Linked DNA regions of Rattus norvegicus. The protein of the gene in region 1 interacts with the protein of each later gene in a pairwise test. Links are inferred from orthologs where the notes say so. Each region holds a gene or a part of one and is shown in the gene's direction. Other genes may lie near its edges.

Region 1 (5,048 bases):
TCCAGAGCAGACCTGTGGCCCCTGACTTCCTGTACAATGGCCCCCAAGCTTCTTTAATCGGAAAGAAGCGCACCAGTACCAAGATTTTAAGTGCTGAGGTCTAGTACTTTGAAATTAATACCCACAAAAGCACGGTGCCCAAACCTTACCGACTGCCTCTTTTTTTTTTTCAAGTGAGACTTAAGACATGTTTAAGATAAAAGTCGATCAAAACTGTCTCAAGCCCAAGTGCTGGTGGCAAATGCCATCACCAAAGCACTCAAGAGGCAGAGGTGGGCAGATCTCGGTGAGTTTGAGTCCAGCCTGATCTACAGGCCTCCCAAAGCTACTCACAAAGAAAACCCTGCTCAAAAAACTGTCTCAAATACGTTAGGGAGTGGTTCATGAATAGTTAATATGCCTGGTACCCCGATCTCCAAACTCCCAACAGCTCCTTTCCCCTACCTTTGTCACTAGCCCCAATATCTTAAAGTGGCCAGTTCAAAGTCAGGTGCTATAACTGCAAGCAGAATACACAAGTCACTTTCTCCTCGCGCCCCTTTTTATCCCTTCCTCCGAATATCTCCTAGTCTAGAAACCTTATTTCTAACCGCTGGATTCTAGTTGCGACGGGACAAGGCCTCAAGGACAGAAAGAGGTACCGAGAAAAAGAAGGTCCAACAACTCTTGGCGGGTTCTTGGGATGAAGTGCTTGCTTTGCCAAATTGTTATGCCTGGGAAGGGAGAACCCGCACTCGGGTGTCCCCTGATCCACACAACCCCAGGACATCTTGGTCAGCCCTCGAGGAACCGAGAACCTCGGTCAAAATCCCCCTCCCCGGGCCATTACAGGCTCACAGACACCTTCACGACCCCACAGCCCCCCCCCCGCAGAAGCCCTTCAAGTCCTACCACGTCACTCCCATGGCGAAGGGTCAAAAGGTGGTACTGCCAAATACTCAAACTCAGAGAATCCAGACCTTCCCACGAGAGGCAGCCCCCTAAACACAGGAAGCGGTCGTTGACCGGCCTCCGGAAATGCGTAAATACTGAGCGCCAGGACGACACGCCCACAGGGAGAGGCATCTCTGGATACACCAGCGGTGACATTTCTAGTACGTCATCGACCCGGCTCCGCCCCCAAAACATACAAGGGGTTGACAACACGCCCTAGGCTACTTTCATGAATTCTGGAAAAGGTGACTCGAACATCCACCTCTTTCAGTGAGATTATCTGAGAATTTGGAGACTCCTGCTCCAAGCCCCGAAGCTCTTCTAGAGATGGCGATATATGAGGAACTTCCGGCCTCCGAACGCTGGGGGGCACTGTGATGCCTCAGTGACCTCTTGGAGACCGGAATACAAGGCGCAAGCGCAGTCTCGTCTCTTAGCCGGCTTCACACGTGTAAACTTTGTGGGCAAGTTTTTCGACAAAAATGCCCAAATTAAAGGTGACACGTGGGGCCAGAAATCAAGAGAGACATGCACCTCTGGCGGAGCAGATTCTGGCTGGGGACGCAGTGCGTGCGGGGACCCGAGAAAAACGGCGGAGACACGGGGTCGAAGAGGAGGAAGAGTATGTGGGACCCCGGTTGAGCAGACGGATTTTGCAACAAGCCCGGCAGCAGCAGGAGGAGCTCGAGACTGAACACGCGACTGGAGATCGGCCGGCAAAACCGCGAGAGCGCGCCACGCGGCTGGGTGAGTGACAAGGGGTGGAGTGGTGAGTTGGGCCGGTCTGATACTCTCCATCGGAATACTGGGTTAGAATTAAAAAGAGTAGGCGGCTTAACTTTCCCGCGTGGTCCTTCACTTCCACTCCTGGGTTTCGGGATCCAGACTTAAGCCAACAGAATGTGATCTCTCACACCAGTTCTAGCATTTATTTATTCTCTGTGCGTTTGAAGTATCTGTGGGCTGCCTGCATAGTGCTTTGAGCTGTGTTAAGTTTTTAGGCAGTTCTGATCCAGAAATAAGATCTTCATCACTCCTGATGGCACCGGAAGTGTAGCTCAAGGCACACATTAAATAGATAATTAGAGTAATATATTCCAGGCAGGAGTGGCGATGCTCACCTGTAATGCCAGCACTCCAGAAGCAAGGCAGAAGGCCTCCTTGAGTACATAGTAAATTCCAGATTAACCTCGACTACATTACATGATAGAACCCTATCTCTCAAGAGAGGGGGAAAGATATTTCTGTTTAAACAAAAACAGATGGACATTAATTCTGTATGGTGGGTATCCCAGGTTTCACGTCCTTCTAGTAAGATCTGAAAAGCAAGTGGGAAGTGTTCCAGTGATGAGGGAGGGGAACGAGTATTGTTCAGAAGCTAAAAGTGGGGTGGGATGGGTGGGTAGATGCTTGGTAATCTGTCTCACTGGGGAGGAACTGTCGTTGACCTCCAGTTGCTTAATCTTCCATTCCCATCTGTCCTAAAAGCAGTGTTTGAATGTGGCTTTAGGGCTACAGCAGCTTTTCTGAAGTAAGGGCTCAAGGAGCCCAGGCTGGCCTCAAACTCTGTAGGGGAGGATGACCTTAAACTCCTGATCTTGCCTCTGTTTTCCATGTGGCATTATAGGTGGTTGGCACCACGCCTGCCCTTAAAAACATTTTGTAACTGAGACTGGGTCTCCTTCAGTTGTTCAAGCTGGACTTGAACTTGCCGTGACCAAGGCAGGCCTTGAGCTTATAGATCCTTCCGTGATGCTGTCAGCAAATTTCACTCTGAAGCCATCTGTTTGATGGCTGCTTCCAGATTTTTCTCCCACGTACGTAGTTCGTCCAAGAGGCTCACATCTTTATTTCCAGTGGTCTTCCTGACAGCTCCAAGTTGAAGACTGGTAGCTGTCGATAGTTGAATGTGTCCACACAGAAGTTCTGACTTCCTTCCCAAACCTGCTCTCTGTTGGCTACACAGAGTTTGTTAGCATGTTAGCCTTCCACTGCTCAAGGCACAATCCAGTGTTCTCTTTCTCACTTCACAGTAAATCCTGATGGTTGTGTCTTTAGAATATATCCAGAGCCAGACCACTTTCCATTAACTTGGAACGCCTCCTGTTTTAGCTACCACAGTCTCCCCTGAATCACTGGGAGAGCATCATAATTTGTATTCTGTAACCTCTGTGGTCCATTCAACAGCTAGAGATCAACAGAATCCTATCTAATCTGCCTCTGTTTCAGGTCTAATCACAAAGTAAGGAGGGGATAAGATAATTCAGCTGGTAAGGAACATGACTTGAGACTCTTGACTTCCACCTACAACAGCTTGTAGTCCCACAGTGTTGAAGACAGATCTCTTGGACCCACTGGGCAACCAGTGTAGCCTAATCAGCTAACCCCAGGTCCCAGCCAGACCCTGGTTCAAAAACAAGGTCATCAGCTCCCGAGAAATAATAGTCAAGATTCCCCTCTGGCCTCTATGATGCAAGGGTTCACTCATATATAAAAAACTAACAACAGCAACAACAAAACACCCCACAAGTGTCAGCATCTGTCTCCTAACCTCTTTTATTCCCCTACTTATCTCATAGCACTTGTCTTCTTTTATTTAACATGTATTTTGTGTGCGTGTCATGATGTGTGTAGAGAACAGAGGAAAACTCTTGAGAATTGGTCCTCAGCTTTTCAGAACACTTGTTCTAGCAGAAGATCCGAGTATGGTTTCCAGCATTCATATGTCAGGCTTGCTGTCTGTAACTCCAGTGGCAAGGGGTCAGATGCCATCTTCGGATCTCACTAGACACCAGGCCCGCGTGTGCACAGACATACATGCAGGCATGCAGGCAGGCACCGCTCACACTTAAAGTAAATCTACAACAAACACCCTTGGCTCTCCCTGAATGTGCTCTGTGGACTCCTTGAGCTCTAGGTACCCTTAGTCCACTTCCAAGCACATGACCTGTTGCTCTGTAACACTGCAGCTAATTTGGCCCATTAGGCTCTTTCCCAGCTGCCTTGCCAGGTGTGTGTGGTGTTTGTCACTACAGGTATGTTGGCACATGGCTTTAATCCCAGCACTCAGGAAGCACCCAGCCAAGGCTACATGGTCAAGACCCTGTCTCTAAAAAAATAAAAGTCAGGATATGTCAGGAATGGCTTGACCCACCTATCCACCTATCGCCCACGTAAGGACACAGAGACATTTTATTATGAAAGCTTGGCCTTAGCTGGCTTGTTCCCAAGTAGCTTATACAACTTAGCCCATTAATACTAGTGTACACGGAACCACATGGCTCATTTCCACTCCTCAGTACCTGTATGTGTTTCTTCCTCTGGCTGTCAAATCCCTTCATATCTCATTTCTTTCCCAGAGTTCCTATCTCTGCCGGAAATCCTCTCCTGCTTTGCTATAGGCCAGTCAGCTCCTGATTAAACCAATGGGACGGAGACAGAGAAGATGTTGTTTATACAACACCTGGACAGGTGATGCTTCACAAAAATAACAATAACAACTGCAAGTCTCCACTGTTACAGAAATCAGTGTGTGAATAATTCAAAGACAACCTTACACAGAACAGGAGCGTTTATCCCAACATCAGGAGCTCAGTGTTAAGCATTGTGGTGTGTGTTTGTGATTCCAGCACTTGGAAAGTAGAGGCCTGAGAACAAGGACCTCTAAGTCATCCTTGACTACCTAAGTCAGCCTTTTAAATGTATTGGTTAATCAGAGTCTGGTGCCACTGACTAGCCCTCAGCCTTCCGGCTTGGCTTTACCTTTCCTTTCTGGTGCTATAGTCTAGTTCTGGCTCTGGCTCCTAATGCCCAACACTGCGACAACACTACTTTCCAGGGTGTACAGCAAGCTCTTGCTCCCAAATTGCCCATCCAGGGCCTCCTCACCCTCACCAAAGTGCCTGTGGTAATTCTGCCTCTACCATGGTTTTAGCCTTAGCACGTAATACAGCTGTACTGTGCAAGCCACAAAGTGGGAAGTCAGGACCCGAGCTACCTACTGTCCAGTTTGATGACAGTACCCATTCCTCGAGGTTATCTGGATGGACCAGGTTCCACGTGTATAGTATAGAATGGCTTCTTCGAGGTCACTGAGGGTAGTGCATCAACCATTA
Region 2 (4,699 bases), on another chromosome or scaffold:
ACAGAACTTTGAGTATTAAGCTCTATTTATTCCAAGTAATTTGTTCATCTCATCTTTTTCTTCATACTTCATACCTCCTATCACTTGGTGAAGTATGTGGCACTTCTGGAAGGTGAACGTTTGCTAGAGGAAATGGGTTACTGGTTATTGCTTGTGGAGTCCATCCCTGTTTTCCACTTGTTATCTTGCATTTTGACTGGGGATGACTGGTCACTTTGCCATCCTGCCTTCATTACTATGATGGGCACTACCTCTTATTGTCCTGTAAGCCAAAATCAAGTCTTTCACTAACTTTGTCTATTAGGTTTGGTGGCTGTCACCACCTTATGCTTATTTTCTGCTGGGGGTGTAAAAAAGTACTATTATCGGTAATCTTGTTACCCCAGCATCCAGAAGACTACTTGGCATGCAGTATGCCCTCAGTGAATAGAAAATACTAAGTAAGTGACTTTAATATTTCAATACTAAACCACCAGAGCGTCAGTGACCTGTAGTCCCAGCAAAGAGGCTAAGGTGGGATGTAGGAGTTCTAGATCAGATTGGGCAGCTTGGGGACACCACTTCTCTCTTTAAAAGGAGAAAAACACCAGTTATATCAGTTCCAATATAGTTCCACATTATTCCTATTCATATGCTTATAAAAAGATAAAGGGTGGGGGTATGTTCTATGGAGGTATGGTGAGGCATGAGGAAAGGAGGTGCCTCAGCCGGCCCATGCTGAGACATCCATTCCTCCTGAGGGAACAGCCACACAATCCTTAGTATAGAGTTTATTCAGAGCATGGGGAGGGGAGTTAAGAGGGAGGGAGAGGTAGAAGCCGGCCATAATCCCGTGGAGATAGGGAGGGGAATGGGGAGGGAAGGAACAAAGAGGGAAGAGGGTAAGAGCAAGAGGGGGCAAGTAGCCTCATTTATAGTATCAGGCATACCTGGCTGTTGGCTGGTAACTGGGGGGGGGGGGGTAGAGCTTAGAATGCTAAAACCTATGTTTTGCAATAAAAATAATCCTGGCGTTTAGGCTTTTCTTTTTAGTTCTGAGATTGAACATTGAGAACGCACATAGTCTAGAGTACACTCTTTCTAGTCCTGAAGTAAATATGTCACCAGCTTTAAGGCTTTTCTGAATTCTTTGGCCAACATCTAGGTCTCACTCTGGCTCACTTCGCAGGACCTTTCCTCCGGTCGCCACAAATCTCTCCACGCAAACGGAAACCACAGTTTTGCCCAGTGAAGATCCTCTACGGGAGGCTGAGCTCACGAACCACACGTTTCTGCAGAGTTAGCGCGGAGTAGTTGCCCGCCCCTCCCATCGAACAAGACTTCCAGGCCACGTTCCTCCTGCTTCCCGGAGCAATCCGTAGGTCCGCGAGCTCGCCGGAAGCCCCGCCCCGCCCCGCCGCCCCGCCCCACCCCCTGCAGCCACCGGGCTCGCGCATGCTCGGTGCGTGCAGTCTCGTCCGCGCGGGTTCTCGCGTGCGTGCAGCACGTTTCCTCTCGCCCACCCCGCCCTTTTTGGTCACTCAGAGGCGCGCAGCGGGCGCACGGCGATTGGCTCCCTCGGTGGCGGCGCCACAGGACCCGCGAACTGCGTGAGCGGAGTGGGCCCTTAAGGATCCCGTGGCTCCACAGGTAACGGCGTGGGCCGGGAGCGGTAGGGGGTGAGGGGGAAGGGGAAGGGGAAGGGAGAGAACCTCAGAGTGGGCTGCAGCCCGATCGGGACTTCCGGCCGCGGCCCCTGGAGATGCAGGAGTACTTGCTTAAGAATTGACCGCGAGAGTGCCGGCCACCTTTGGTAGCCCGCGTCGCGGCGTTCACAGGTGACACGCCGCTCCTCCAGGTTTCAGCATCATGGCGTGTAGTCTTTCAAAAGTTAAAAAGGCCGAACACTGAGAAGTGTAGGTTGTTTTTCCTCCAAGCTGTGAGGAATTAAGGTTTCAGTCCTGGCTGGACCGTGGGTTCACTTTATGCCCTTCCGGGACACTTTAGCGCTTCATAGCTTTCACCCTTCATAGTGCGAGACAAAACCGCAGTGTAGCTCAATATGCCCAGTGCCTACTGTAGTAAGATACAACTGCATACTCTGGGTTCACTACATCCAAAAACTGGCTTTTCTAACTGGAGGATGACACCACCTTACGGTATTGGTGAAGTACTTCAAGTCGAGTAGATTGCAAGATAGCAGGATAGGCTAGGGTGGTGATATAAGAAACGCGTGTTTCTAAGAGAACAGGCCTTTGGAAGGGTCCCTTTGAGCATTTTTATGTCAAATAATTCCCGGTGGTGGTAGATAGACAGCTAAGGAAGGACGCCTTTAATCTGTATCACAAGTTACTCACTTTGCAAAGTTTCTTACTGCCATCTGGAGTGAACCTCAGATAAAAGGACAGTTACGTAATCGTTACATAGGCTATCATCCTGCACTGGATATTACTATATTATTAAGTCACTAGAATGACTAGAGGAGGGTAGATCAAAGGACGAATTGCTTCCATCAAATTGGGGACATTTTCTTGATTAATGATTGAGGTGAGAGGGCCCAGATCACTCACTGTGTGTTTTATCAACCCTGAGCAGGTTGGATCTCACTTGTATAAGGAAGAAAACCAAAGCATGCTATGGAGAGCAAGCCAGTAAGGGTAACTCCCTGGTCCCTGCTTCAGTTCCCGCTTCCAGGTTCTATCCTCCAGCTCCTTTGGTTGCTTCCTGGGTGATGGATGCTAGCCCTCCGTGTTAGCTTTTGGTCATGACATTTGTCAAAGCAAAAGAAACCAAACTAGATTGCATCCTAGTAAATAGTGTAGCAATAATTGAGGCTAATTTTGAAAAAGTGAGATAATATGAATTATTTCATTAGATAAAAGTAATGATGGACAAGCAAATATGAGTAGATGTACATTATTTTTCTTCAACGGTAGAGTATGAAATAAAAATCTTTGCGTGATAAATTTAAAAGTTTAATAAACATAGAAACGTGCTTAAGTTGTGTGTACAGTTTATTGTATTTTCATGAAGTATAATTATCTTATGTCTTGAAATAATTAAATTTAACCATAACTATATACCACATTTTTTGTTTTGGAAACACACACGCGCGCACACACACACACACACACACACACACAATCTATTCTAGCAACAGATTATTACTTTAACGTGGTAGCTGATTTGGACTTTCTCTTTAATAGTTGACTAATAGGACAAATTTTCCATAGAACTACTTTTGGCATTTGTTAAAAGGAAATCTGGTTGTGATTTTTGCTAAAGTTGGAAGTATTCTTTTAGGTTTTACTCTATTTTAATATATATAGGTATGTGGTATATTCTTTTAAATTTAAAGTAGTGCATTAGGTTTGTGTATGTACATTGAGATTGCTTCCATTTTGCTTAATATCTATACATTTTGGAAATAACTAGACTATAACAGGGTTCAGTTTACTGTAGTTTATAATCTTGAATATTTTTCTTGTTTCTTCTTGAAACATGCCAACATCTGTTTCTGTCTCTGTATCTGCCTGTCTCTCTTCTCTCTCTCAAGACAGTCTGGCTTTAGTCCTGGCTGTTTGAGAAGTTGCTATGTGGACCAAGCTGACCTTGAACTCAGAGAAATTTTGCCTCTGTTTCCCAAGTCCTGGGATTAAATGAGAGCACCATCTCACAGTGCTTCTTTGTATTTTTGTATCTTTGTAGGATTTGCTACTGTGGAATGAACTTTGAAAAAGAGAAAAAAATGATAACTTTAAAAAACTTTATTGTGAAATATGGTTCATATAGAAGTATATAAAACATGGACATTTTTTTCTGAACAAATGAATAACCACTAAAATTGTTACTTTTCTGTATATAGCTGTTTACAAAACATGTCTGCACAGGTGATATGGATTGTTTTATACGTGCCTTATTAATGCTGTTGCTCAATCTCTCCTATTAACAATTCATATATGTATAAATCTCTGTGTTAGTAGTAGTAAGTGGTGACAATTTGCTATGTTAAGACTCCTTTTGTAATAATGGAGTCTATTTCTCCCTGGATACCTACCCACCTAGTCATATACACACACACACACACACACACACACACACACACGCACGCACGCACGCACATCCACACATATATACATGTGTGTATGTACATATCTATTTTTGAGGTCATGCTCTTCATAGTATATAGCTTCATGATTAATCTATTTTTCTGTAAGCTAGACATCCTCTTTTATCAGTGATTCATTTCATCTTTAGTGATACTTTTTGTTTTAAAGCCTTGTCTGAATTTTTTAAGAAAAACTTTTAAAATAGTGTGTCTTGTTGAGAAGCTAAAAAAAAAATAGTATATATTGTCTCTGACTTACAGTCGTTCACCTTTAGATTTTTTGGCTTTGGGATGGTGAGAAACTGGTAGTCAATAGAGGTGGTATCTTGCATTTGTATTTTTAATCTTTATTTAGGCTAGGGGTAGACAGACACGGTAAGTTACTGTTATTCATGACACTGGGTGGTGGCTGCAAGCTGCAATTCCTAGGTGGTATCAGGAGAACCAACAACTAGTGGTCTTTGGTACATTGTGTTCAGCTCAGGGATTTGATGACTTAGGTGTGTATTACATGCATTTTTGGTATATTTATCAGGATGTAGTCCAAAGAACTACATTTGACATCTGGAAAGTCAAAGAACATCTTTCCAGAATTCTGTATTCCCTGGATAA
Region 3 (4,609 bases), on another chromosome or scaffold:
TTCCTGTCCCCCTTTCTTTTCTGAGGAAAGTTTGCTCATTGTTTAGTATAAAGACACTTTTGAACTGTTATTACCTATTCTGTGTAAGCAGGAACAATTAATTGTTAGACAATTTTAGACAGCATGACCTTTGACATTCCATCCAATTGCTTTATTTGAAGATCTCTGGTTAAAAATATTTGAAGATAATTTTATTAAACATTATATATATATATATATATATGATACTATCACTGTGAGATCTTAAAATCTTTTCAATACTGACTGTATGATTTCAGACTGAATTATTTCCTGTTATCAAGTATTTGAAAAAGAAGCCTTAAATCTCTTCCTACATTACCAACCCAGTACTCTGTAATCAAGTCTATAAATATTTCCATTGAGATACCTGATGCTTTCACATTTAGAGGAACTAGAACCCATTACATATGAGCCAAACTATCTTCAATCGACCAAGCTGCAGAACGCTTGCATCGTGGTGATCTGGTTTCTGCCACAGCGAAAATGTTTTTCTCCTGTTTTCTCATTTAAAAAACTTTAAGCAACTGTGGGTTAGTGTGTATGAAGGATGTGGAGCACACCTGAGGACATGGGGACTTTCACTCTCTAAGTGTACATGTGGTTTATTTAATAGTTTAATGTTTTTTGGTGTATTGCACTTTTAAAATTAAAGTTTACAAATCGCTCACAAAGTATTGGGTTTCTTTTGGACAGTTCGTTTCTGTCATTTTCTCTTAATAAACTTCATCACAAGTCAGCACTAACCAAGCACCAAGAAAAACTCTTGCGTGCTGGGAGGAAGTGGTCTCAGTAACATGAAATATGTGTGTCTAGAGTTGGCCGATTTCAGATTTGAGTCTCAAAGTAATCACACCGTGCATGTGCATTCGCAGTCCCTCTACTTGTTCTGGCCAGCAGAAACCCTGGGCATCCAGACCCACCCAAGGCTTCCATCTACGGCCAGGAGGGGTCTAAGTATCTACTCATGTGCGGCAGGTTTGGGGTCACAGCACTGCTGGTGCCCACACGAACAGCATAGCACCCACTATAGGCCTGGGGACCAGCCACGATTACAAGAGGTGTCAGCTCGCAGGCCGCCTGGGAGACTTCAGGCTTTGTTCAGTCAGGAGCCAAGCCTCCTTGTCAGAGAAGCCAATTAGATCCCCGCTGGGGATCATCTGATCTCGCGTCCCTCACCAGGAGGGGCTCAGAAAGGGTGGGACAGGCCGGCCAGCTCTCCGGTACTGGGCGGCCGGCCGCGTGTCGGGAGGCCGGGCGCGGAAGCCAAGGCCCGCCCCTCTCCGTCTCGCTAAGCTCCGCCCCTCTCCCCAGGCCCCGCCCCTAGGGGCTCCCCGGGCGCGCGCCGCCCCGCCATGTCCGCGCGCCACGCCCCCCTGCTCGCCGGCCGCGTGCGGAGCCGCGCGCCCCGGAGGTTCCCGGACCGTGGCGGCGGGCGGCGACGGAGGAGCAGCCCTGCGCGGGCCATGTCTTCTCCGGCCGTGGCGAGGGCGTCCCCGGGCGGGAATCGGGAGACGGCCGGCGGACCGCGGAGCCGGAACGGGCCGTGGGAAGTGGGCGGCGGCGAGCGGTTGGAGCGCGCGGGCGCGGAGCCGGGGCGCTGGGAGCTTCTGCTCCGCCGCGGCGAGCTGCTGGCGCTGGGCGGCCACCTGAAGGGAGCGCTGGAGGCGTTCGCGGCTGCGCTGCGCCGCGGGGCCCCGGCCAGGCCCGAGCGCCTCGGTTCGCTAGTGGACTGCCTGGTGTTCAGCTACCGGCTCCGTCACGGGCTGCGCTGGAGCGCGGCACCCGCCGCGGGCGCGGCCGGGCTGCTCAGCTGCCTGGGCTGCCGGGGCTTCCTAAGTGAGCCGGTGACCGTGCCGTGCGGCCACAGCTACTGTCGCCGTTGCCTACGGAGGGAACTGCGCGCCCGCTGCCGCCTGTGCCGGGACCGTCTGCCACCCGCCGCCGCCGCCTCCGAGGGGACCCCGCGGCCGCCGCCCCTGGCCGCCGCCATCGCCGACTTCCGAACCAGCGTCGTGCTCAACCACCTGGCGGAGAAGTGGTTCCCGGGCCAGCGCGAGCGCGCGCGGGCGGCCGGCCGCCTCGGGGAGCTACTACACGAAGGACGCTACCGGGAGGCCCTGGCCGCCGCCTGCGACGCTCTGCGAGCAGGTGATGCGGGGCTGCGGTGCGGGACTGGCGAGCGGGGATTGCGAGTGTGGGAGGGGGCGGCGCCCCGGGGTGCTTCGGTCACGGTGGGGATCGCCTGGGAGCCTCAAGTGACGCGGCGCAGGGAGGGGCGCGGATGCGAGGTTCCCTCGTGCGCGCGCCGAGCGGGGACCTGGGGCGGCGGAGCTTGGGCGCGGGGTGGGTGGGGGCCACAGGCTTCCCTCTGTGAGCTGGCTGGGAACCCCAGCCGGGGTGGGGCGAGCATCCCCGGGCTTGGCGGGGCTTGGGGGTACCGCGTCTACCTTGGTCATGCACTAAAGTCACCGGGGCAATTAGAAGCCGCGGGAGGGCAGAATTGCATAAGCTGGGTGGGGGGGCGTTGTGTAACGGGTGACGTTCGGTGGGCGTGGCGGGAGCCCGGCGCGGGCACCGGCACCCGGAGGCCCAGCGGCGGCCCAGCTCTGAGTTGGTGACCGGTTGCCCGCGAGGTGGTCACCTCTTCTTACCTAAAGGATCGCTTGCTCCAGGAACCTCCACCTGCCTATCTCACATTCTGCTTCCTTGGACCTCTGTGCGTGCTCCCACACATTCCTGGTGTTGGTAGAGAAGTAGCCTCCTATGACGAGTTTGCCTTACTCAGTGTAGACCTGTGAGGGGAAGCTTTGTAGGTCTTTTGCTTATATCCAAGAACAGCGTTGTCCAGTTTACTGGAGATGGCTTTTAGACTGCGGATAAAGGGGTCATTGTAAACTTAGTAAAGCCAAGAGTTCTTTAAATCCTCGAACTCGGTTGTTCTCTACTGAGGTGGTGGTGGTACTTACCTCCTAGAGATTTTTACATCAGGGACCCTTATCTAGTAAAGCATCTAGAGACATCTTTGAATGGCCACCTCTTGTAGAAGTCCTGTCAGTACAGACATCTAGTGGCCCGTCCAAGGATGTTGCTAAACATTCCTAAGCTCACAGCCACCTACGTGAAAGACTGATCAAGCCCAAATGTCAACTGTATCATAGTTGGTCACCTGGTGTTGGGCATGCTTTGTGTGTCTGTGGGCTGCCATGAGAAATTACATACAGTATTAATCCCCAGGAAATGAGTGACATTGGGAATTTGAACTGATTTTAGGTATTAGGTAAGTTATAAACTTGTAACTGAAATTATTACTTTGACTCTTTTAGTCATACTGAGGAAGTTGACAGTAGCTTCAGGCATACCCTTCTGGCACGTTTTCATCCTCTTCTGGCAGCTTCATGAGCAGGCACTCATAAACTAAAACGACAAACCCAGAGTGATAGAACACTTGGGGATGCACAGTTCTGCTGGGGATGACTCTGGATATCTGGGTGGATAAAGTTGAGTGGGGGAAGCTGGACCTGACTGATCATCCAGTATCAGGCTTCTGTCAGACCTTAAGGAGGAAGCAGAGACAGGGCAGGTGACTTAACAACAGTCACTTGGGTGGTGGCTTGTATAGGCAGCTTAGACCCTCCACTTCCCAACATTCTCTGCCCAGCATTGAGATCCTCGGGTCTACCAGGATATCATCTTGAACAGAAAAGGCTGCGAATGATGAATTCTGTCGCTTCCAAGCTTCATAGACCGCATGTGAGATTTGCCCACAGGCCACATAACCACACTTTTTTCAAGACTCGAATTCAAGTCTCTGGCCTTTCACTTTATTATGTTATAGGGTTTTTTTTTTCCTTATTCATAGGCTTGTCAGAAAAATCAGTAATTCTCCACCCGAATATGCATCTCAATGATACTAATGATGATATTTTTTTCTCTTGAATTCTTTGTGCGAGATAAAAAGAGAACAATTAAAGAGCCAAACATATTTTAGTTGGTCGGGGGCAAATGTGTATGTGTTTCATAATTTATGGGCATTAATAAGAGTGGGCGGATAGCTCAGGGGTAGCAAGCTCGCCTGGCATGCGCAGCGTTCTGCTTTGTATCCCTAGCCTTCCAAACAACCCACCACAGTGTGTCAGTTCTACTCTCGCAAATCTGTTTGTCCGGTTGTTAGGGTTAAGGTGTCTTGGAGTTGGCCAGTTTTGAGATAGGTAAGCATTTGAAATGCATTTGTATCATTGCTCAATTATAGTTATTAATGGCACTGTCTTCGTTGATCATGAAAAAAAAACCGCTGTAATTTTTCATGTTTCTTAGAATGAAACAAATATTATTAGAAAAAAAAATCTAGTCTGCAGTTGGCCCACACACAACCAAACTTATCCTTGTCGACAGAAAAAGCAAACTTGGAAACCCTTGCCAAAATCAGAATTCCCATTGAGATTACATAAGGTTCTGTTGCATTGGAATATATTTAGATAACATTTAATCCATTGATCTTTTGGTATTAACTCTCAGATGTTTCATAACTTTCTTCTTAGTATTCAAGGAGCTTATGTAAAAGTCTTTTCTGCATTGAGTCTTTTCTACT

The links. The genes of interacting proteins can lie anywhere in the genome.
Region 2: the proteins of Bysl (region 1) and Mipol1 interact in binary tests that used the Homo sapiens proteins (3 or more experiments, as listed by UniProt). The two-hybrid records come from large-scale screens. The link is inferred for Rattus norvegicus from reciprocal best matches to the Homo sapiens genes BYSL and MIPOL1.
Region 3: the proteins of Bysl (region 1) and Lonrf1 interact in binary tests that used the Homo sapiens proteins (3 or more experiments, as listed by UniProt). The two-hybrid records come from large-scale screens. The link is inferred for Rattus norvegicus from reciprocal best matches to the Homo sapiens genes BYSL and LONRF1.

The regions. Positions count from the first base shown.
Region 1 is NC_086027.1:20,878,994-20,884,041, forward strand, and holds the start of Bysl (bystin), read left to right. Parts: upstream 1-1,347; 5' UTR 1,348-1,415; coding exon 1,416-1,680; intron 1,681-5,048. Other genes in the region: Med20 (mediator of RNA polymerase II transcription subunit 20), read right to left, coding at 892-905. UniProt on the Homo sapiens protein: Required for processing of 20S pre-rRNA precursor and biogenesis of 40S ribosomal subunits. May be required for trophinin-dependent regulation of cell adhesion during implantation of human embryos.
Region 2 is NC_086024.1:80,488,881-80,493,579, forward strand, and holds the start of Mipol1 (mirror-image polydactyly gene 1 protein), read left to right. Parts: upstream 1-1,449; 5' UTR 1,450-1,629; intron 1,630-4,699.
Region 3 is NC_086034.1:62,686,572-62,691,180, forward strand, and holds the start of Lonrf1 (LON peptidase N-terminal domain and RING finger protein 1), read left to right. Parts: upstream 1-1,359; 5' UTR 1,360-1,373; coding exon 1,374-2,169; intron 2,170-4,609.